3 linked regions of the Cricetulus griseus genome follow. The protein of the gene in region 1 purifies or fractionates together with the protein of each later gene. This does not show direct contact. Links are inferred from orthologs where the notes say so. Each region holds a gene or a part of one and is shown in the gene's direction. Other genes may lie near its edges. The genes, in order: Npm3, Ncl and Nepro.

What was found.
Region 2: the proteins of Npm3 (region 1) and Ncl fractionate together in Homo sapiens (co-fractionation; 4 studies listed by BioGRID and IntAct, with this or other methods). This does not show direct contact. The link is inferred for Cricetulus griseus from reciprocal best matches to the Homo sapiens genes NPM3 and NCL.
Region 3: the proteins of Npm3 (region 1) and Nepro purify together in Homo sapiens (affinity purification with mass spectrometry; 4 studies listed by BioGRID and IntAct, with this or other methods). This does not show direct contact. The link is inferred for Cricetulus griseus from reciprocal best matches to the Homo sapiens genes NPM3 and RMP64.

The regions. Positions count from the first base shown.
Region 1 is NC_048596.1:15,814,162-15,821,303, forward strand, and holds Npm3 (nucleoplasmin-3), read left to right. Parts: upstream 1-2,649; 5' UTR 2,650-2,691; coding exon 2,692-2,809; intron 2,810-3,095; coding exon 3,096-3,181; intron 3,182-3,389; coding exon 3,390-3,509; intron 3,510-3,622; coding exon 3,623-3,716; exon of another isoform or gene 3,717-3,838; intron 3,839-4,027; coding exon 4,028-4,137; 3' UTR 4,138-4,146; intron 4,147-4,222; 3' UTR 4,223-4,245; coding exon of another isoform or gene 4,246-4,252; 3' UTR 4,253-4,603; downstream 4,604-7,142. Other genes in the region: Oga (protein O-GlcNAcase), read left to right, coding at 1-48; Fgf8 (fibroblast growth factor 8), read left to right, coding at 4,246-4,252. UniProt on the Homo sapiens protein: Plays a role in the regulation of diverse cellular processes such as ribosome biogenesis, chromatin remodeling or protein chaperoning. Modulates the histone chaperone function and the RNA-binding activity of nucleolar phosphoprotein B23/NPM.
Region 2 is NC_048595.1:438,026,360-438,033,808, reverse strand, and holds the start of Ncl (nucleolin), read left to right. Parts: upstream 1-3,599; 5' UTR 3,600-3,761; coding exon 3,762-3,779; intron 3,780-4,711; coding exon 4,712-4,828; intron 4,829-6,491; coding exon 6,492-6,984; intron 6,985-7,219; coding exon 7,220-7,408; intron 7,409-7,449. UniProt on the Homo sapiens protein: Nucleolin is the major nucleolar protein of growing eukaryotic cells. It is found associated with intranucleolar chromatin and pre-ribosomal particles. It induces chromatin decondensation by binding to histone H1.
Region 3 is NC_048597.1:45,715,074-45,721,849, reverse strand, and holds part of Nepro (nucleolus and neural progenitor protein), read left to right. Parts: intron 1-1,006; coding exon 1,007-1,161; intron 1,162-3,344; coding exon 3,345-3,424; intron 3,425-3,716; coding exon 3,717-3,848; intron 3,849-4,282; coding exon 4,283-4,360; intron 4,361-5,969; coding exon 5,970-6,334; intron 6,335-6,658; coding exon 6,659-6,720; intron 6,721-6,776. UniProt on the Homo sapiens protein: May play a role in cortex development as part of the Notch signaling pathway. Downstream of Notch may repress the expression of proneural genes and inhibit neuronal differentiation thereby maintaining neural progenitors.

The DNA.
Region 1 (7,142 bases):
ATGGAAGGATTTCCAAAGGATGTGGTTATACTTGGTCGAAGCCTGTGACGTTGGTTGGCACTGTGAACTGTCCAGAGTCTCTTAACCCCACCTTGTGGTTGGTGGTTGAGGTCTTCACACAGTTCAGTGTCTGGAGCCGTGACAGATAAGCCAGTTGAATTGGAAACAAAGATGACTATAGAACTCACCATCCCCTGTTCAGACTGCTCACTGGTTGGAAGATAGTACTGCTGCATATCCTGCGGGAAAAAGATGTGGTGTGCCTCTCCTTTGGGTCTTGTGTTAGGTGTCAGGACCTCTTATGGGGCTCTGTAGGGAGAGGGTCTCAAATAAATGTAGTCAGCACTATTTTCTGCATCCAGTGTGGTTGCATTTCTCACCTACGAGTAATGAAGATCACTCTTTGTTCTCCGTGGTGCTGAATGAACTGTCTCTGTTCTTTGGAGACATGGCAGGAATGACAAAGAATTAGTGGGGTTCCAATTTGGGGCAATTTTTCTGCTTTTTGTAAAGCTCTGGCTAACTATCTCCTATAATGTTGGTTCAGGCAGTTGTGCTTTGTAGGGACAAATGTGCATTTGTTTGTGGCAAAGGCCTAAATGGACAAACTTGTAAATTTCTTTGTATATAGACTATAGCTGTAACCTGACTGTTCTTTTTGTTTACTGTTTTTATATTTTTTTTTCCTTTGAAAATGAAAGGTGTTGGTTTAGGGTGGCACTTTGAATAATGTAAACCAGTGGATGGTAGATTTCCTTTACGTTTGTCTTTAAAATGCCTCCCACATAGGAATAGGCCACGACTATTGGGGGGAGTGTCAGCTTTATAGGACTCAAATCTATTGGGAAGTGCATTACTTCTGGAGGTTAACCTTCATTGCAGATACGCATGTGAAATGTTCTGACATTGTTGTCATGTAAGGGTAAGTAAAGGGACTGACTCGTCTCTTCTGCCCTTAGAGCAGTTGTCATTTTATCTCAAGACCTGTTAACTACTGGTTTAATTGAATCAGTCTTTAATTCTTGCATGTTTGTATCTAATTTTTAAAAGAAAGAATAAGTATATGTTAACCATAAGTATACTTTTTCTTTTAATCAGAAGTTCTGAAAACTTCATGTATTTTAATTTAGATTTGGTGAATTTAAGGGTTTGAGCATGAAGCTGGCAGATGGTCTCTGCAGGGTTTTTTTTTTTTTTTAAATCATGGCTAGCTAGTGTCTTCTCTCTAGATTTCAACAGTATTTTGTTATCTTCTCTCAAGTTTTTCATCAGCTTTTGAACTCTGAGCTGAGGGGGGAGAGAGAAAAAGGAAACTTGAACATTTACTTTTATAGAACTCCAGTGTGAGCTTTTGAGATAGTCTTAAATTTAGCACTAGTGTACCTGGTGACTTCCAACTGAGGCCCAGGAGAGAGTGCTTGCTTAGAAGCCTCTTAGGGTAAAAACCTGTGATAGGCTATGTTGGAAAACTGAAATCAAGTTTGGTTTTGAAGGCTGAGGTGAAGGGCAAAATTTTTACTAGATACTAAAACCATTTAATGTTCCTCACCTTTCTCTTGAGTACAGCCCCATACTCTAGTGGGAATTACCACCTTTTATTTGGAGGGTTTCAGAGTCAGTTTCTTATGGAATCAGGAATTTTAAACAAGTTGCTTTTTGTTTCATGTTGGCTTTCAGTAATCACTTTGAATGATCTGAACATACCTGAAACATGTCCAGGTTTATACCATCATCGCTCTGGGATAAAGTGCTGTGCCAACTTACATGGTTATGAATATTAAGGTTGGAATATCATTTCATTGATTGTTTGAATCACAGCTCAGTTTCTGTAGAAAACAAACTGTAAAACTATCTGAAGACCATGCAAGAGGCAAAATAAAACTTGAAGTGAATTTGTGTGATAGTGTTCGACTTTTCTCTGCTCTCCGTCTGTTTCCCATCTCTTGATGCCTCAGCTAAGGCAAGCAATCTTCTCCCCAAAGCTGTTTCAATGTAGCCTGGAATTTGAAGACAGCGCTCCTTCCTGCCTTCCTCAGCAAAGAACTAACTTGCAGTTTTTCTCAGAAAGGTTCCTTTGTCTTTAGTTAGTTGCCCTCCTACTACAGTTACAATCTGTGAAGTAGAGGGGTTGCTTCTGAGTTTCTCTGTAGGGAGTGCAGTTGTTCTCCTTAAATAGGGGATACTGGTGTGGGGGTGTGTAGCCTAAGTTCTGTGAGGAGAGTCCTAAGGAGGAGGGTGTGCCTCAGCTGCCGGGAAGTGGGGCTCCAGGGCGGCTTGGATAGGAGCAGCGTCCATCCCGATCAGGGAGCTTATCTGAGGGGCGTCTAGCGCGGCCAAGGTGAGGGTGGGAATCCCTGAGGAAGGGGAGGATGGCTGCCCTGAACCACAGCGTCTCTGGACGAGGAGGCACGGAGGCGTATGACAGTAAGGTCGCTCCGTAACTGCGGGGTGGAAGAGAGGGTCTCTGGATGTGACGAGCTGTCTTCTGAGGCCGGGCTACCTGTCCTTGCGGAAGCGCTGACGGCTGCTCCCGCCCGTCCGGCGTGCGGCGTGCGGCGTGCGGCGTGCGGCGTGCGGCGTTCGGTTCGACTCACTCTGGCTGCGCGCGGCTCCTTTAATGGGCGGGGCCGGAACTGGCCGCGGTGCGGCGTGCGGTGCGTGCGGGGGCGGGGCTTCTCAGGCCGTTTCAGCATGGCGGCCGGCGCTGCTGCTGCTCTAGCCTTCTTGAATCAAGAGAGCCGAGCCCGGGCCGGGGGTGTGGGCGGCCTGCGGGTCCCGGCTCCCGTCACGATGGACAGTTTCTTCTTCGGTATTGAAGACTGGCGGGGCAGAGGGTGGTTCGGGGGCGAGTGAGGACCGCGGCCGGGCGCCGGGGGTGTGGGCCGAGGGTTGCCGGCTTTCCCTAGCCCTGCCCTCGGCCTGCAGGCCCAGAAGCTCGCCCCCCAGGTGCCTCAAGAAGGAACGCTTGGCAGCCAGGCGGCCCGTCAGCCCGCGGCGGCACGTGGCCGGGCGGGAGGGGCTGCGGGGTGTGTAGCGCCCTCGCGCGCGGCCCTCCGCGCGTGCTCCTCACGCGAACGAACGCCGGGCTCTTGCAGGTTGTGAGCTCTCCGGCCACACCCGCTCCTTCACTTTCAAGGTTGAGGAAGAGGAGGACACGGAACACATGCTGGCGTTGAACATGGTGAGGGGCTGGAGAGAGGGCGCTGGGGCCATGCACGCATCTCCCGCTCCCCCACCCCTGGGCCGGGAGTCGCTCGAGGCCACCCTCAGCGGGCTACTTCTCTGGGCCCCTCCCCGCGCACCCCCGGGTCTGGGTAGGCCTCAGGGTTAGCGGTCTTCTCTGTGGTGCGGGCCCTCATTTGAGACTGAGGTTCTGTATGCGCTTTCAGCTGTGCCTTACCGAGGGGGCCAAGGAAGAGTGTAATGTGGTGGAAGTTGTGGCCCGGGATCATGACAACCAGGAGATTGCAGTTCCTGTGGCCAACCTGAGGTTATCTTGCCAGCCCATGGTGAGTTGTGGCCATCCGTTCATTGGAGTACGGTGGGGCATAATTGAGAACTTCAGTATCAGTCCCAAGGTGGCTGGGCCAGAGTGGATCAGGCCTTCATTCCTGTCTTCCAGCTCAGTCTGGATGATTTCCAGCTCCAACCACCTGTAACCTTCCGCCTGAAGTCGGGTTCTGGGCCTGTGCGCATCACTGGCCGGCATCGGATTGGTGAGAAGACTGGGCCCTCCCATCTCTCCACCAGTGCATCCTGAGTCCCAGATTGTGGTTCCAGTATTATGTGCCTTTCACTGCCCCGCCCAAGCCTATGAACTTCTGGTAACCTGTCCCAGGTGCCGCAGCCCCAATGATGTGGGCAGGCCCTCTTTTTCCTTCTTCGGGGTAGTGTCTGACGTCTGTCCTTCCCATCTAGACTGGAAGAAGGGGTTCCCGTCCCCCTAGCACTCCAGGGAATTGAGGACCGGGCATGTGGTGTAAGGACGGTTGGCTCTAACCTCCCGTCTGACCGTGTGTCTCCACAGTTTGTATAAACAATGATCTTTCTGAAGAAAGTGAGGATGATGAGAGTGAAGAGGGGGAAGTCAAGCTGTGTGGCATCCTTCCTGCCAGAAAGCACAGGGACAGGCCCTAGCCCTCTCCGGTGAGTAGGAGGGGAACTGGGAAGTTAGGGGAGCAGGTGAGGGCTCAGACCCTGACTTCTTACTTTGTTTTCTCAGGTTAGCCGCTTGCTACAGGCATCATGCACCGTATGTTCCTGGACAAGTTTCAAGAATTGTAAATGTTTTTCTCGTTGAAGAGGAGAGTTTGGGAAGGGGCAGGTGGGAGGAACTTGGACCGGTGCTAAGAGAACTGCGTTCTCCACAGGGCCCTGTGTTTACTCCTACAGGTTGCCTGAAGCTTCCCTTTTCTATTGGGGTGGGATGACCTTTGAACATTGACCCCCCCCCACCTGCCCAGATTGAAAGTTTTGTGAACCCCCAGGTTAAGTTCTCAGCACTGAAAAAAAAGAAAAAAAATAAAGTTCAGAACAACGTTTTTAACACTTTTTACATTTTTAGGTAAAGATCTAAATAAAGTGGTATGTGGTTTTTTTGCAATTCTTGTGTGGCTTTTTCCAACCATGAGGTTTCCCTAGGGACCACAAGGTGGCACTGTGGCAGCACAGAGTGGTCCTAGTTCCAGGGCTGGTGAGAAAATGTGGCCTCCTGTTCCCCAGGGCCTAACTCGGGCCTAAAAGTCCCTTCTGCCCTGCAGCAGAGGGACCTCCCGTTGCCGCCTCTTCGGTGTTTCTGCAGGTGGGGGAGGGCCATCGCAGGAGGTTATCAGCTTCCAAACAAGGGGTCTGGGCCTCTGTCAGCACTCAGGCTGATGGGCAGAGAGGGACAGATAAGTGGGCTGAAGAAACCTGAGGAATGTGCATCCCTAGCCCCATGAGGGGGCTCAGCCCAGGGAGAGAGCCTGTGAGGGGTGGGGTTGGGACCTGTCCTGGCTCTTCTGGTCTTTGAGGCAGGTTGAGTAGAGCAGGGTCCTTAGAAACCTGATTCCCAGGGCCAGATGGAGGGAACTGGCCAGATTGGGTGACAGAGAAACCAGAATCCGGGTGGCCTGGCATATGGGGGCAGAAGGGAGCTCACGGGAATCAGACGCCTCTGCTGAGGGGTCATTACCTCCCAGAGCTCCACACTGTCTCATCCCTAGAATCGGTGTTTCTGGGGACTGGCTACTGCTATGCCACGAAGAGAAAGGGGGTTGCTTGTGTGAGGACTGTGTGCACCCAGCTCTGGGGTCAGCAGTTCAGCTGTGTTGGGGGGGGGGTCAATGCCCTACAAACAAACAAAAAGGTGACCTCCCCAGACAGGCTGAAGATGGACAGAGAACAGGGCCTGAGAGAATCAGGTTAATTCACACCAGCTGACCAGCAAGTAGGGGGCCTGTCAATAATACAGAGGCTGGGTTGGGGGCAGGTGGTCGACTTCAAGGGTGTCCCCCATAGCATAGAAAGCAGTACCTAACCCAGGCGTGGTAGCACATGCAAAGCTTGGGAAGCTAAAACATGAAAACTGAGAGTTGGGAGGCCAGCTTGGGCTCCAGGGGTAGGGTAAGGAGGAGAGAGAAGTGGTACCTCTTAGCCTTACAAGTTTTTCCTTATCTATGTGATGAGTTAGGTGTACGTTTTCAACCTCCCTTTCTCAAGTGGAAGACAAAAGACGCCCTTCTGTGTTTCGGAGATCAGGGTCTCCAAGCCCAGTACCTAACTAACCTCGAGGTGTTTCCACCACCGACCCTGCCAGGAGTCATTCGCGGAGTCTCGAACTGGAGCGGAAGGCAGAACTAGCGCCCTCTGGTGGGCTTGCTTAAAACTGCTTGTGGAAACGCTCCCTAGGGGCTAACGCCCGCTAAGGTTAAGGCGGGATAAGTCACTAAGTTTTGAATACATGCACGCTTTCGTTTACACGAAATACTCGAGCTAGGAGAGAGGAGTTAGTTGGTGGTATTCCCTTATCCTTTCGGCTTCTTCCTCCAACCCCTGGGTACGTGCATAAATGCAGAGACTAGCCATCACTCGGCTACCCCTTGCGCGTACTCCCCCACCATCAGTGTCTACCCCCTGTGACTCCGTTGATCGCCCATTGTATTTCTCGCCTGTTTTCCCAGTGGGTCTCCCGGTGGGTGAACTACGAGCAGAGTTCTGCCCGCAGTGGGAGCCCAATCCACATTTGCCTTCTAGTTCTGGAGTCTCCCGGCCCCTTGTGGCGCGGAGCAGACAGACTTGGGAATTGTTTTTCCCCCCTTCTAGATCACACCTTTCCAGGAGACCCCTTTTCTGCACTCTCAGCACACAACAGGAGTGCTGCCAATTCTCTGGCCTCAGACAGCTAGCGGATTGTGGGATAGGATTGTGTCTGGAGAATGCTGAAGGGGCAACACGGTATTGGGAGTTGGTACGAAGAAAGGTGGCTCTGGATCTTGGTGCAAAGTGGCTAACGCTGTCGCGGGGATTTGCATTTGAACCGTCGGAATAGATTCTGCAGCGCTTTGAACGCGGAGCTCTGGAGGTGTGAGTCACTTCAACCTGCAGGCGTGGTGGCCTGGGTGTGGATTTGAGGGGCCTGTGGCCAGGCCAGGGCTGCGGTAGGGGCCTGGCGAGCGCATGTTTGCAGAGAGGGCCGTTTGTGTTGGCAAAGAGTGTGTGTTTGTGTTTGCAGGAGGGAGTGTGTGTATGTGTGTGTTTGTGTTTGCGAAGTGTGGGGGCGGCCGGGAAAGGTGGCCAGGCTGTCACTCAGAGATCAGGATGACAGGCGCTCCCTCATCTAGGCGCGGGAGCTCTGATTGCAGATTCAAGGAAACAAAATAGCAATTGTAATTACGGGGCTTTGATAAGATAAAGGAAGGAGGGAGCTGGCCGGGAGGCAGGCTAGCAAGAGAGGGAGGGAGAGTGGCCTGCGGGAGCCCCGAGAAACATTTGCATCTGTCAGTCACTGACTGCTCTGGGTGCCAACTGTGTGTGGGGGCATCTATCCTTCCCCCCAAAAAAGACCCGGAATTTTGGGGAGACTAGAAGAAGCCCGAAGATCTGGGCGATGCTCCATCCAGTTCCTAGGACTTTCCACATGTAAAAGAATTTGGTCTCTCAGA
Region 2 (7,449 bases), on another chromosome or scaffold:
GACATGATCTCCTTTGAAGATGGTTTAGGAGAAACACAGGAGATACCCCTTGAAGATGACTGAAGCTGAAGTCCTTGCCTAGAGACCTGACCGACCTGAGACCCGGTTGTTATCTATTTGGTTGGAAGCTCTGTTTTTATTTGCTAAGAGAGTAGCCAAGTCAGCTATTTCATTGTATCAGGTAGCACTAAGATAATTTTTATTACTCTGTATTTCATTGGTCTTTACTAATAAACCAAGTCCCCCTTTTCTCACACACACAAAAAAGAAAACATCCCTCTCTTTTCCTGTACTCTGTGCTGGTGATTGCACTGTAATTGTACTCCAAAAGCACTGGATTACAGACATACACCACCATACTCAGCTATTTGCTCATTCATTCAGATAGGGCCTTGTTTTGTAGCCCAGGCTGGCCTGACACTCAGTTACTCAGGTTATAAATTCAGGCCTCAAATTCATGGTAATTTTCCAGCCTCACCCTTTCAAATGCTGTGATGATAGGCATAAGCTACTGTACCTAGCTCTTTTGTACCTTACTTATGTGGTTTATTTATAACCGATTTTTCAATTAGTATTTGATGAAATCCAGGTGTAGGAGGAACACACCTGTAATGCCAACGGTTAGAAGGCAGAGGCAGAAACACAATTTCCAGGCTAACCTGGGCTACATAACAAGACTATCTCAAAAAGAAAAAAAACCAAAACAACATACTGAGATGTGATATGCTATCAAAGCTGGAACTAAAAGAGATGTGCACAGTAAACAAATAGCAGGGCCTTTAATGTGGGGAAAGGAACCTAGAAATCTCATGATTGTTTTTGCCTTTTGGTCTTGATTTCAGTCCTCTCTCCTTGGGACAAGAAGATGACTCAGTGGATAAAGTGCTTGCTGTAAAAACATGAGGACTCAAGTTCAGATCCCCAATATCCCTGTAAAAAGCATGGGCTGGCAGCACATAACTGTAACCCTCGTGCTAAGTGGTGGTGGGTGGAGGGAGCAGAGACGGGGATCCCTGGCATCTGCTAGCTTGGGGAGGTAGCTGCTAAGTGCTAGCCTGGCATGCACAAAGCCAAGGTCAATCCTCAGAGCCACATAAAACCAAGGGAGGTAGCACACACTCATAATACCAGCATTTGGGAAGCAGATGAAAGAGATCAATAGTTCAAGGACAGCCTGAGATACATGAGACCCCACCTTAAGAAAATCAGATAGTGAGCAACAGCATTCAGGCATCTACCTCACCCCTGTCCTGTCTCCTTACTAGTTCGAGGACTGCACAAATTGACTCTTTGTCCTCATGTTTGTGAGCAGTGATGCTTTTAGCCTATTTTGGATACATTTATGAATTTAAGATTTCCAAAGAGCTGGAATAGAGTCTGGTACCTGGAAAGCTTCACATGTGTATTAGGTATTGTTGACCAGATTGACTACACAGTAACACGGCTCGACACCAAGCTGTCCCTTTTGCTGCTGCTTCACTTAAACTGTGTTCTTTTTTGAGACAGGGTTTCTTTCTGTAGCTTTGGAGCCTATCCTGGCACTCGCTCTGGAGACCAGGCTGGCCTTGAACTCAAAGAGAATCACTTGCCTCTGCCTCCCGAGTGCTGGGACTAAAGGAATAGACCACCACCACCTGGCTAACTACTTGTGTTCTTAAATCACATTTCACATACAACATTCTGCCTCTACGTATGCCTTGCACGTCAGAAGAGGACACCAGATCTCATTATAGATAGTTGTGAGCCATCATGTGGTTGCTGGGAATTGAACTCAGGACCTCTGCAAGAGCAGCCAGTGCTCTTAATTTCTGAGCCATCTCTCCAGCCCCTAGCAAGTACCTTTTAACACTATTATGTGCCAGGCAATACTGTAGGCACCAGGAATACAGCAGACAACAGTTTGTGTTCTCCTGGCTGGCTGGGGAAAGGGCAAATTAACAATAAACAGCCAAGAAAAATACTAGGTAGGTGATACGACCCAAGAGCATAAGTGAGGGTCCAAGAGTGAGTCTCCTAGTGGCACTTTACACCAGAGGTCTGAGGAAGGCCCCATACAGGTAGATCGGATCGAAAAAGAGAAGTCATGCCAGTGTTGCTGAGATCCATCTGTGTCATCTCACAGCTCACCTGTCTCCTCCCAAGTGCCTTTAGCCTCCTCTGCTTGGAAATACCCAGGGTCTTGGCTCACACCAATCATTTTTCCTGTCCCTCTACCCAGGAGTCTCTCTTGGGGTCCATCTCAAGGTGTGACCCTTGTCACTGTCTCTATAAAGACAAAGCCTCCACATCACTGCACTGGTTCCCACCTCATGCCCTGACCATAGAGCATTTTCGTGGAGCTGTGTCCTCCACCGCGTTGCGAAGGACTTAGTAACAAGCATCACGCATTAACTATTTCTACTTGTCTCCAAAGACCCGTGTTCAGATAGAAAACGTGGGACCCAACACATCCTGTTTGCACTAAAATCTTCCGAGATGGGCCAAGGCGTGGTGGCGCACGCATTAATCTCTACACGCGTGAGGCAGGCAGGTCGAGGCTAGCCTGGTCTACACAGTGAGCTCCAGGACAGCAAGAGCAAATAGTTAGGCCCTGTCTCAACATCCCCGACAAAATCTCCACAGGTGATCTATCAACCAATATCATCAGTTGGCGGAACCCTGACTATGCAGAAAATTAGGTTTTAGATGCCCAGGAGGTACCCTAGAAGGGCTCCAGTATGCCACGCCTGGAACCCAAAGTCCCACACACAGGTCTAATCCACTCACGGCAACTCTGTCCTTCAGGCCATTGAGGGAAACCGTGAGTGGCCACAGGCCGGCAAAAAACTCCTCCAGCACACACCAGGAAGTCACCTCTCCGAGACCGTCCCCATCAGGAGTTAAATCTACCGCGCGAGGTTGGACATTAAGCGAGCTGTTTGAGCACTGCACACAGGCGCGCACACACGCACGCAACTGCCTTTATTGGGAGCTGTCTCTCAGGAGAACAGCGGCCCGCGGCGCAACACTAGAGCCCCGGGATGTTCTCGGCTCTGCCGAGGGCAGGCCGAGGGCCGCGAGCTGGCCCCAGTGGGCTCTAGGCCCTCAACTTCCGGCGCTCTCCGGCTCCTCAGCGGGAACGCGCGGCGAGCACTTGAGGCCGCCGCGGAGTCCACGGTGGGGCGCAGCTTCCGCAGCGCGGGGGATGCTCGGGCCACCCACCACCCCCCACCCCCCCGGCCACGCGAGCCCGGAGCTCCAGGTAGCAGTCGAGCACTAGGAGGCGTCCGGGCCACGCCGCCATCCCCGAGCCCCTTCCACAAGCCGCGCCAAACGGGCGCGTTGCACCGCGCAGGCGCGGCGAAGGCGAGCCGCTAGGGCTCGCCGAGAAGACGCGCACACCAGCCAGTCAACGTCCGCCTTGCGTAGAGCTAGGCCCGCCCCCAGGGCGCTGCCGTCAGGCCCCGCCCCCGGCGGACCCGCCCCCACGCCGTAGCCCCGCCCCCACGCCGTCCTGGGTTGAAGGCTCGCGGTTGGCCAGGGGGACGGACGCGCGCTCTGGTTGGTGGAGGAGGGGTCACGAGGACGCCGTCGTCGCCTTTCCAGAGGCGATTACTGGGCAGGCTCAGTCTTTTGCCTCAGACGCTAGCTGTAGCTGGCAGTCGCTCGTACGTGCTCCAGAGTCCACCGTGCCCGTCGCTGCCGCCCAGCTCGCGTGGGTTCCCCGAGGCTCTCCCGAGCTGCGCCCTTCGCCGCACGCGCCGTCGTCGCAACCCGCCACCATGGTGAAACTCGCAAAGGTGAGAGGCCTCGCGCGCGCCGACGCGGACGGACGCCTGGGCCTGCTTTCTGAGGGGCGCGCGCGCGCGCGTCGCTCAGGGGAGGAGGGCCTGCGCGCAATCCCGGGCGCGTTCGAGGGCGCCATGCTGGGGAAAGTCTCGCGCGACTAGCGGGAGGTCTCGCGGTGTTTGGCCCCTGACTTGGTGGTGGGGGAGAGCCGAGGCGGGTCCCGGGAGGTGTGTGTGTGTGTGAGCGCGCGCGCGCGCGTGTGTGTGTGTGTGTGTAGGGCGGTGAGATCGGAGCCGCCGCGAGGGGAGAAGGGGCGACAGGCCCGCCGAGGGGAGATGGGACCCAACTCGTGGGCCGGCGCCGGCGTGGCCCCGCCTCCTGGCGCACGTGCTCCGGTGCGCGGCCCGCCACGTGGGTTTTGGCGCTCTGCGTGTGTTGCCCGTCTCGGGCTCGGGGAGTCGCGGGGTACCGGGGAGGGGGACAGCGGGACTGAGCTAGGTGGGTTCCCCGGCGATCCCCAGCGCCTGTCCGTGACGGGCAGGCCAGCACGTGGTGGACACCTGAGGGAGCGCGTGGTGGCCTGCGTGGTACCTCCACGTGGCCCGCCTCCAGAGTGGCGACGTCGGAAGTGGTTCTGTGAAAGACGTGCTCCTCTCCAGAAGGGGCTACCCAAATAGATACCCCTGCCCCGGCAGATGATTTAGAGTGAAATTCAAAGGGCAATGAATGACTAGTAGATTGTCTTCAGTTGTCTCTGGAAGGGAAAGACAAGTTATATAGGTGATTCTCAGGAAAGATTGCCACATATAATAATGCCAATGATGTCACCTGTGCTTAGGGCCTTTAACAATATAGACAGTGGGCATTAAGAAAGAAGATAATGGCGAAACGCAAAATGGCTTACAAATAGGGTATCGACATGATTTTGTGTGCACTTGTGTAGGCCGGCAAAACCCACGGCGATTCTAAGAAAATGGCTCCTCCTCCAAAAGAGGTGGAAGAAGATAGTGAAGACGAAGAAATGTCCGAAGATGAAGAAGATGACAGCAGTGGAGAAGAGGTATACAGCTAATAGGGCAGCGGTGCCCTCCCTTTAATTCCAGCAAGAGGGACGTAGAAGGCAGGCAGTTTTAGTGAGTTCAAAGCCAGCCTGGTCTACAGAGGGAGTTCGGGGACAGCCAAGGCTACACAAGAAACCCTGTCTCAAAAACCAAAAAGAAAAAAAAAGATGTAGAAATAGAATGTGTGTTAATAAAAGTATTCTAAAGCCGGGCGGTTGTGGTGCACGCCTTTGATTCCAGCATTCAGGAGGCAGAGGCAGGCGGATCTTTGTGAGTTCAAAGCCGCACATGGTCTACTTAATGAGTTCCAGGACAGCCTCCAAAGCTACAGAGAAACCCTGTCTCCAAAAACCAAAAAAAAAAATACAGTAGTATGATAACAATAGTTGAGTGACAAGTTCTTTATTGCTATTGAGTAGTTAAATAAGAGTATTACAGTCCACTTGAGAGGGATGTAAATTTCACTCAGGTTTCACATGCTGTATTGAATATTGATTGTAGGCTGTTATTTTTCCCTACATTTTTGGAAAACAGGGTTTAATCCAGTTTGATTTGTTTTCATTCAGATCATGGTCACGTGATTTCATGGTGTTTGGTGAGAAGGACATTACGACTAGAAATTCCCGGGTGTTTTTTTTTGTTTGTTTGTTTGTTTTTTGAATCAGGATCTCAACATGACCCTTGTGGTCTTAGAACTCAACATGTAGACCAGTCTGGCCAAAAATTCTCCTGAATAAAGGCATTAGTCATTGCATGAAGCTAGTTAAGAAACTTAGGGCTTTGATTTAGATGAGAATTGGAGTCAGGGTCTCAATAGTTCAGGAATCACTATATTTATTTTACTCCTATTCCCGTCATGCATGTTTTGTTTTTTAGTGCTGATCCCTATCACTAAAGTAAGCTTTAGCCTATTATATAAGCTTTTATAGAGCAAGTCAGTTTTTAAAATACATCAGATATGGATTGAAGGCTGCTACTTACCAGTTTGCTGAATCTGGTACTTATTAGCACTCCTACTTGTTGGTTCATTTAAAGACATGGTTAATTAATTTCAGGAGGCAGAAGTAGGGATAGTCTTGGAAATCAGGTAAGCTGGGGGTATGTAATCATTATGCTCAGATTTCTTGTTTAGAAGAGCTATATTAGTAATAAGCAAAATTTGGGTTTTGGTGGAACATTTTTCAATGAAAATAAAATGCATACTTGTTATAACTCTGCTTAAGGCTGATGTGTAGGGGTGGAGTTGGAGACCAGTTTCATTTATGAGTGTTTCTTAAACTTGGGTATTTGTGTGATAAGCACCTGCAGTTGTAAGCCATGTATTCTGATTCCAGGGTTTAGGATTTAGTGTGTTGGAGTTAGGGTTAGAGTGTTTATCTGTATTTGTATGAGTGTACTACTAAGCATGCCTGGTGCACTTAGGCTAGAAGAAAACTCTTAGGTTCCCTGGAACTATAGTTAGAGCCATCATGTGGATGCTGAGAACTGACCGTTGGTCCTCTGCTAGAGTAACAAGGGCTCTTAACTGCTGAACCGTCTCTCTAGCCCTTTCACCCCAGGGTTTAACATATACCTAATTCCAGTGTTGAGCTCAAAGTTAGTATCAGTATGTTAATAACATTGGATATACGGAAAGTGCTTATTATTTGTTTTACTTTTAAGGTTGTCATCCCTCAGAAAAAAGGAAAGAAGGCTACAGCAACTCCAGCAAAGAAGGTGGTTGTTTCACAAACAAAAAAAGTTGCAGTTCCCACACCAGCTAAGAAAGCTGCTGTTACTCCAGGTAAAAAGGCAGCAGCCACACCAGCCAAGAAGGCAGTTACACCAGCCAAAGCAGTTGCAACACCTGGAAAGAAGGGAGCCACACAAGCAAAAGCATTGGTAGCAACCCCTGGTAAAAAGGGAGCTGTCACTCCAGCCAAGGGGGCTAAGAATGGTAAGAATGCTAAGAAGGAAGACAGTGATGAAGATGACGATGACGACGATGATGAAGACGACAGTGATGAGGATGAAGAGGATGAGGAAGAGGATGAATTTGAGCCACCAGTAGTGAAAGGAAAACAAGCAAAGGTAGCTGCTGCTGCTCCTGCCTCAGAGGATGAAGACGAGGAAGAGGATGAAGAGGAGGAGGAGGAGGATGAAGAGGAGGAGGATGGTAGGTGGATTTCTGTTTGCAGGATGATTAGGAGATCTTGCCAACAATAATGCATGTAGTTTTCCTGACCACTTCGTGCTTAGATTAGAAAGTCACATTTTGTGCTCATAGTTCTTTCCATAACTTAGCATGCTGTCAGAATTTTATTTCTCTAAGACTTTTTTAGTGTGTATAAGATTCATGTTATCTGGATTGGCAGCAAATGCCCTTGCTTACTAAGCCAGCTCTCTTTCAGACTCTGAAGAAGAAGAAGCTATGGAGATCACACCTGCCAAAGGAAAGAAAGCTCCTGCAAAAGTTGTTCCTGTGAAAGCCAAGAATGTGGCTGAGGAGGATGATGATGATGAAGAGGAGGATGAAGATGAGGAGGAGGATGAAGAAGAGGAAGAAGATGAGGAGGAGGAGGAAGAGGAAGAAGAGGAAGGTAAGCAGATTACATTGAGGTACACTGACCTCAGTAATGTT
Region 3 (6,776 bases), on another chromosome or scaffold:
TTATACCTGCTTCACAGCTGCTCATGTTAAGATTAGGAAAAATCTGTACAAACTCCCCCCCCCCCCCTCCAAGTTACATACTACAACTTCCAGTGGCCCTGGTGGTTTCTCTTTTCTGAATGTAAAAGAACCCAAACCCTATTGATATCCATGGGGGGATTTTGGTTCCAGGAATGCTTCTATTAAAAAAATGGGCATGTGCTCGTCTTTTATTACATGTTAGATAGATAGTTTTTACAGTGTGGCCAATACTCATCTTTCTGTATACATTAACCCTATCTGTAGGTTGCTTATGATACTGAATACAATGTGACTGCTATTGACATACAGTAGAGATGGAATTTGTGGGGACTGTATTCAGTGTGAGGTTGGTTGAATGCAAAGATGGCACTTACTGATAGAGGGCTGAGTATATTATATATTCTTATCAAAAAGTGGTATCCAAAGTAGAGTTCCTTTTACTTTGCAGGCTGTGACTTTATTCCCTCTGTCTTGCTTACCTGCAGAGGGTTTCATTGACAGATGCAACATGTGCCCAGCTTTTGTATTTTTGGGGTATAAGTGATCATCCCCAGATGATGACTGTAGAGTAGTCACAGTACTCATGTCAAGGTAAAAGTGATGTAAAGACATCTACACAGCCAGGGTGGGCGGTGGCACATACCTTTGATCCCAGCACTCGGGAGGCAGAGACAGGCGGATCTCTGTGAGTTTGATGCCAGCCTGGTCTACTGAGTGAGTTCCAGGACAGCCACCAAAGCTACAGAGAAACCCTGTCTTGAAAAACAAAGCAAGCAAACAAAAAGAGACAATACACATTCATGTTCAACAAATGTTCTCTTATAGATCACCTGATATCATTTTCCAATTTCTTAATACTCAGAATCCTTTCTTATATTTTTCTTTAAGGCAAATAAGTCAGAATGTTCCTTTCAGAGTATTTCTCATCTGATGCAGTAGATGTAGACATGCATACTGAATCTTGTTTTAACTGTTTCTGCTTTAGATATTTGCATTGCGGCTGTCATTAAAGGATGCCACCTTGTCACACAGTCAATCAAGAGCAAAACCTTAGATGCGGAAGTGGATGTATTATGCTCCGTTCTCTACAGCAATCACAACAGAATGGGCCGCCACAAGCCCCATTTAGCTCTCCGGCAGGTGAGGGGAAGCTCCGTTCCACATGCAGCCCAGTACTGACGAACATGAGGATCACACTGCCACTTACTATTTTGTTATTTATGGAAAGTTCATAAATTATTTTGATTCATAAGTCTACAAGACACAATTACGTGTTGGATATTTTGGCCTTTTATTTTCCCAAAATATTTTCAAAAAGTAATTTATGATCAAGAAATATATTTCAAAGCTGGTGCACACCTTTAATCCCAGCACTTGGGAGACAGAGACTGATTAATCTCTGTTGGTTTAAGGCCTGCCTGGTTTGTATAGTGAGTTTCAGGACAACCAAGTCTATGTAGAAAGACCCTGTCTAAAAGAAACAAAACAAAACAAACAACAACAATAAAAAAATCTCAAAAAAGAAGTATATTTCAATTCTTTCCAGTTTAATTTTTACTATTACAGTCTTTAACAGTGCCTTTGCCTAGTATAAAAGTAAACTAATTTAAACCCTAAAATCTTAAAAATGAAAACAGTTGTGGCTTAGTGTTGTGGTTGACTTCTTGTGGGGTCATAATGTCGTCAGCAGTGTGTTGCTGTGAGTGGTTTATGGTACGCAGTGATGTGAAGTGCTTTCATGTAAGTTTTGGAGACTGAGAAAGTATTGTGGCCTTTAGCTCCATGACTCCATGGCAGAGAGCTGCTGGAGGTGGGTTCTCTATGTGCCATTCACACACTCTTTGCCAGTCCTGCAAGTACCCTTTCAAAGCTCAGTGTGCTGCCCACTCGTGTGAGAGCCATCTTTCCAGTACTTATGTGTTTTTCACAAAGTTCTCTGTTGACATCATACTTGGTGTTGGATATGCAGCAATAAAAAGACATAGTCTCTTCTGTACAGACTCTTTCTCTCTGGTTAGCTATACTCCCATTGCTTAAGGCCCAAGGGATGAGGATGCTGTCTTCAAAGAGGATCACTGTCTTTCCCTAAGTTGTCTTCTCTGGGGCTGCTTTAACCCAGGTCTTCTAAACCAAGAGCAAACTTGTTCACTACCTTCTTGCTGAAGTTCTTAACTGCCTTTTCCCTTCCCTTCCTCTCTTACCCTCCTCCAAACCGTATTTCACTCATTGTAATTTCCTATCTTAAAAGATGGTGTCTAGACTTAGAAATTACAAAAGATAGGAGCCAGCCCCAGAGAATGTCAGGGTTGAACTATGTTGAAGTAGAGTCCGTAACAATGATTTGGATTTTAGTAGTATCTGTAGCTCTGGCAAGGTTGGGACTCATCAATAGCAGTTCCCATCAGGAGCCTTACATCCTCCAAAGTGCAGGTGCAGTCCAGGGAGGGCCCTTGGTAGGCATTCCTGAGAGGGCGTTTATACAGCATTCTGTATGCTGTATAAACAAGCAGCATGGCTTGTTTTCTCCTGAGAAAAAAACACTAAGCCCTGTTCTAAGAGCTGGATTACACTGGTGAACAAAATGGATGAGTATATTGTCCACAGGGAGCTTACAAGGGCAGGCAGACAGCCAGTCAGCCAGTAACTGGCTATGCCAGCTGGTAAGAGTGCTGCAGGGAAAAGCAGAGCAGGGGAGGTTGCGATTTTAAATCAAGCATACCTGTTGTAGCTTTAAGATAGTACTTTGTGTGTTATCTGTCCTTACTACTTGAAATTGGGATGTATCATATACCACGCTGTCTCCCAACATGCCTTGCATGCAGTTAGGTGCTCAGGATAGATTTGTTCTAGGACTAAGTCACTTTCTTCATTTCTGGTGTTTACAGACTATTGAAACTGAGTAAAGAATTGGCTATCTTGTTTTACTAGGTTCACTGCTATAAGTATGTTCCCTCAACAGATTATAATATTAAGACATACTCATTTTGATCCCTTCATAGCATCGAGTACTTGGCACATAGTAATTTCTTGAATTGAGAGATTTGTTGGGTTGGTTTAATTTCATATTTGTAAGCAGAAGCAATTGCTTTGGGATTTGGGTTTCCTTGTCCTTAAATGAGAAGGTCTTATGCGGCACATTTCCATACTGTGAATGTTTGCTTTCTTTGCATTCTTCTTGGTCATATCTGTGACACTGCTGTATTACATGCATACTAATTTAAATGGATCTTCCTCCTTCTGTTTGCTTTCTTTGCATTCTTGGTCATATCTGTGACACTGTTGTATTACACACATTCTAATTTGAGCCCATCTTCCTCCTTCAGGTAGAACAGTGTTTAAAGCGTTTGAAAAACATGAATTTGGAGGGCTCAGTTGAAGACCTGTCTCAGTTGTTGTCTGCCAAGTAGGTGGCCCATTGCTTTGTCAGGATGTCTTTGCTATTCTCTGCTTGGTGTTGAGCTATAACCAACTATGCCAAGATCTATACATTATGTTTTAATAAGGGGCACCTGTTGATTGATGGGAGGGACTGGTGGGACATGGAAATGTGGCTCACAGTAGGTTACAGTGAAAGAACAGTTGGTTGCTGATAGGCATAACCACCTCAGGCTGAGCCTAAAACAAGCCTTCACTTGGATAGTGCTGTAGAAATGTGTTTAAAAATGAAAGTCATGTCCTTTTCTGTTTATGTCAAGTGAAACCCAGCCAGGAGCTACTGAAAACCGTGTTGTCCCCAGCCAGCCGGTGGTGGAGGTGGTGCTGATGAAGGTTTTGGGAGGCTGCAAGTTGTTACTGCGCTTGTTGGACTGCTGCTGCAAGGCATTTCGGTATCCTTGATTATGGGAACACCTTCTTTGGAATGGGCCTGTTTGGGTATCTTTATAGCCTCTGTTTAAAAGCTGTGCTATAAGGTGGGGTAACCTGTGGGAATTCTTAAAGCGTTGCCTTTTGGCTCCTCTTCTAGCAACTGCTAGAAGAGTTGGCCCGTGCTAGAAGGGTATAGCCCGTGCCTAGCATGAGCCTACCTAGCATGTATTCTAAGAGTTTAACCATTAGAAATTCTTACTCCCACATACTAACTGTAGTAATAGGAGCTCTAGTAGAATAGACATTTCTCTGTTTTTAGTGTACTGTGTTGTTATTGCCATGCTAGGACTTTAATACCTTCACCGTCTTCTTTACGTCCAATTTATTTCTTTCGTCATTTTAACTAACAAATCTTCCTTTGGTTTTATTTTTCCAACCTAAACTGATTCTTCAGGTTGATCGTGAAGCACTTAGGACTGCAAGAATTCATTATTTTGAACCTTGTGATGATTGGGCTGGTGAGCAGGTTATGGTATGTTTTCCTTTCTACAGTTGTGTTTCATTTCTTTTTCATGTTTGCTCAGTTTCGTTTCACACCGTTGGCCCTAGGATCTGAAGACATGCTCTTTTCTGTCTTCCTATGACAGTTTATTTGCAGATTGTAAGCTGACCTGTTTCTTATTAGTGTTCTCACAATTTCATTTCACACTATTGGCCCCGGGATCTGAAGGTGTGGGTTGCCTATCTTCTTATGACAGTTTAAAGATTGCAAGCTGAGGGCTGGTGGTTATGCCAGAGGAATGGGCTTTGCTTCTGAAACCATACAACTAGCCTGATACTGAGTAACTCAGAAAGTGAATCCCTAGGACCTAAGATTATAATAATAGTAATAGTGATAATAATAATGATGATGATGGTGGTGGTGGCAGTGGTAGTAATATTGTAGTAGGCTTTTGAAAAAGCTGCTGTTCCTGTGGTGTCCATATCTTGATTCTTTCTGACACCTGATTTCTAATTTTAATAGCAATTAGAAATACAATTTGACCTTCCCTGTATGCTCTAGACTTTTCTTCTGCCTAACACACGACTGCTTTAGAAGCATATTTGGTTAGTGTAAATAACACTAGTAATACTCACCCACTAAAAAAAGGCATTTTCCTTTTTTTAAGAGCTCTTAAAAAAAAGATTTACTTGCTTATTTTATGTGTATGAGTGCTCTATCTAAATGTATGCCTTTGTGCCAGAAGATCCCACTATAGATGGTTGTGAGCTACCATGTGGTTGCTGGCGACTTGAACTCAGGACCTCTCGGAGGGCAGCCACTGCTTCTGACCCATCTCCACCCCTCCCCCCAAGACATTTTCTTGTGTGAGTTTGTGTAGCATAAAACGGTTTGATGGATAAGCAGACACAGAATTGGATCATTAGCTCTAATTTGAATATAGCAAAAACTGTCAAAACAATAAAAGTAAACCCAGAAGATTCTACCATCAAACATAAACCTTGCTTTCATGTCTTAACCCAGATATCTCATTTGTATTTTGTTTTCTTTTCATTCTGCTTATTCATAATCAGAAGTAATAGCATTTGAATTGCTAATGTTACTTTGTTAATAAAAAAATTGAGAGAGGCTCTTACTGTGTAGCCCACGCTAGCTCTGAATTCATGATTCTATTACCTTAGCCTCCCAAGTGTTGTAGGTGTATACTCCCAAGCTGGGCTTGCTAATCATATTATTTTAAAATGTTTAACTTTTACCTTTTTCTGAAATGAGAAATAATTTACATTTTACTGATTAAAACAAAGGTTTATGCTTAGAAATCCCAAAACACAAAAATGTGAAGAACTTGAAATGCACCTGAAATCTCATCTCAATAAAATAACCATAGGATTTTTGTGTGCACTTATTTGACACGTTTCTAGGAAGTTCTTTTTGTGTAGTGTTTAATATTTAGATTTTTGTGTTTGGGGTGGATTAATCTGGCAGTTTGCAAATACACACCTTAGGCATTTTGTTTGGTTTTGTTTAATCTATATTTGCAGAACTTGATAGCTCTTTATTTTCTGTTTTGGGCCTTGTGTTTATTGCATATCTGCAGACGATGTTATTAGCGGATTCATGAGCTTCTGTTTCTTTCTAGGGTTCTCCATAAGGGACTTTTAAGGAGGCTGGTTTCCTTATACGAGCCATTGTTCCAGTTGCTTCAGGAGGTCTCCAGGATTCATCCCATGCCTTACTTCAAAGAGTATGCCTTTCCTTCTGATGTCACTGATTTTCTAGGGCCACCTTACGTGGAACTCTTTAAGGGAAAACCGCCTGAAGCTGTTGCCACTAAAGGAGTAACTAAGTTGCTAAATAAACTGTTTACAATGAAAGAACAACTACCAAAGGTCAGTGAAGACACTCTAGATAGAATTTCTAAAACATCTGAACAAATGAAGAACAATGCACAGAGTAGTATGGACCTGGGACAGCCAGTGAGAATGAGCAAAAAGACCAGAAAAGGTGAGTTGCTTAGATGAGTACATACTCTTTCTTGTTTCTTTTAAAATTCTGTTTATTTTTATTCTTTCTTTTTTAAACATATACTTTCGTGCATTATCTAGAAAGAAATTCAGAATTCCATTTCTTAAGTCACTGATTATATTTAGTTAGGGAGGTATGAATGTTGCCCATTTTCAAAGCTTTGCTTCTAGTTCCTTCCTGGGCTTTTGCTTTCTTCTCTTCGTTTCTTTGCAGTAACTTGTCAGGAAATGTCATGAGGTTAAGAATTTGTTGGTGGTTTGAAAATCTTATGGCTCAGTTTTTATTTTCCTTTTAATTCCACAGAAAAGCCATCAGGATTTGATGTGCGAGCTCTCTGCACAAGGCTTCGAAACAAGGCTACTCAGGTCAGTGTGGTTTAACCTAACGCAGCTTTTCATTTCTACCAACTCTAGAGAAAGCT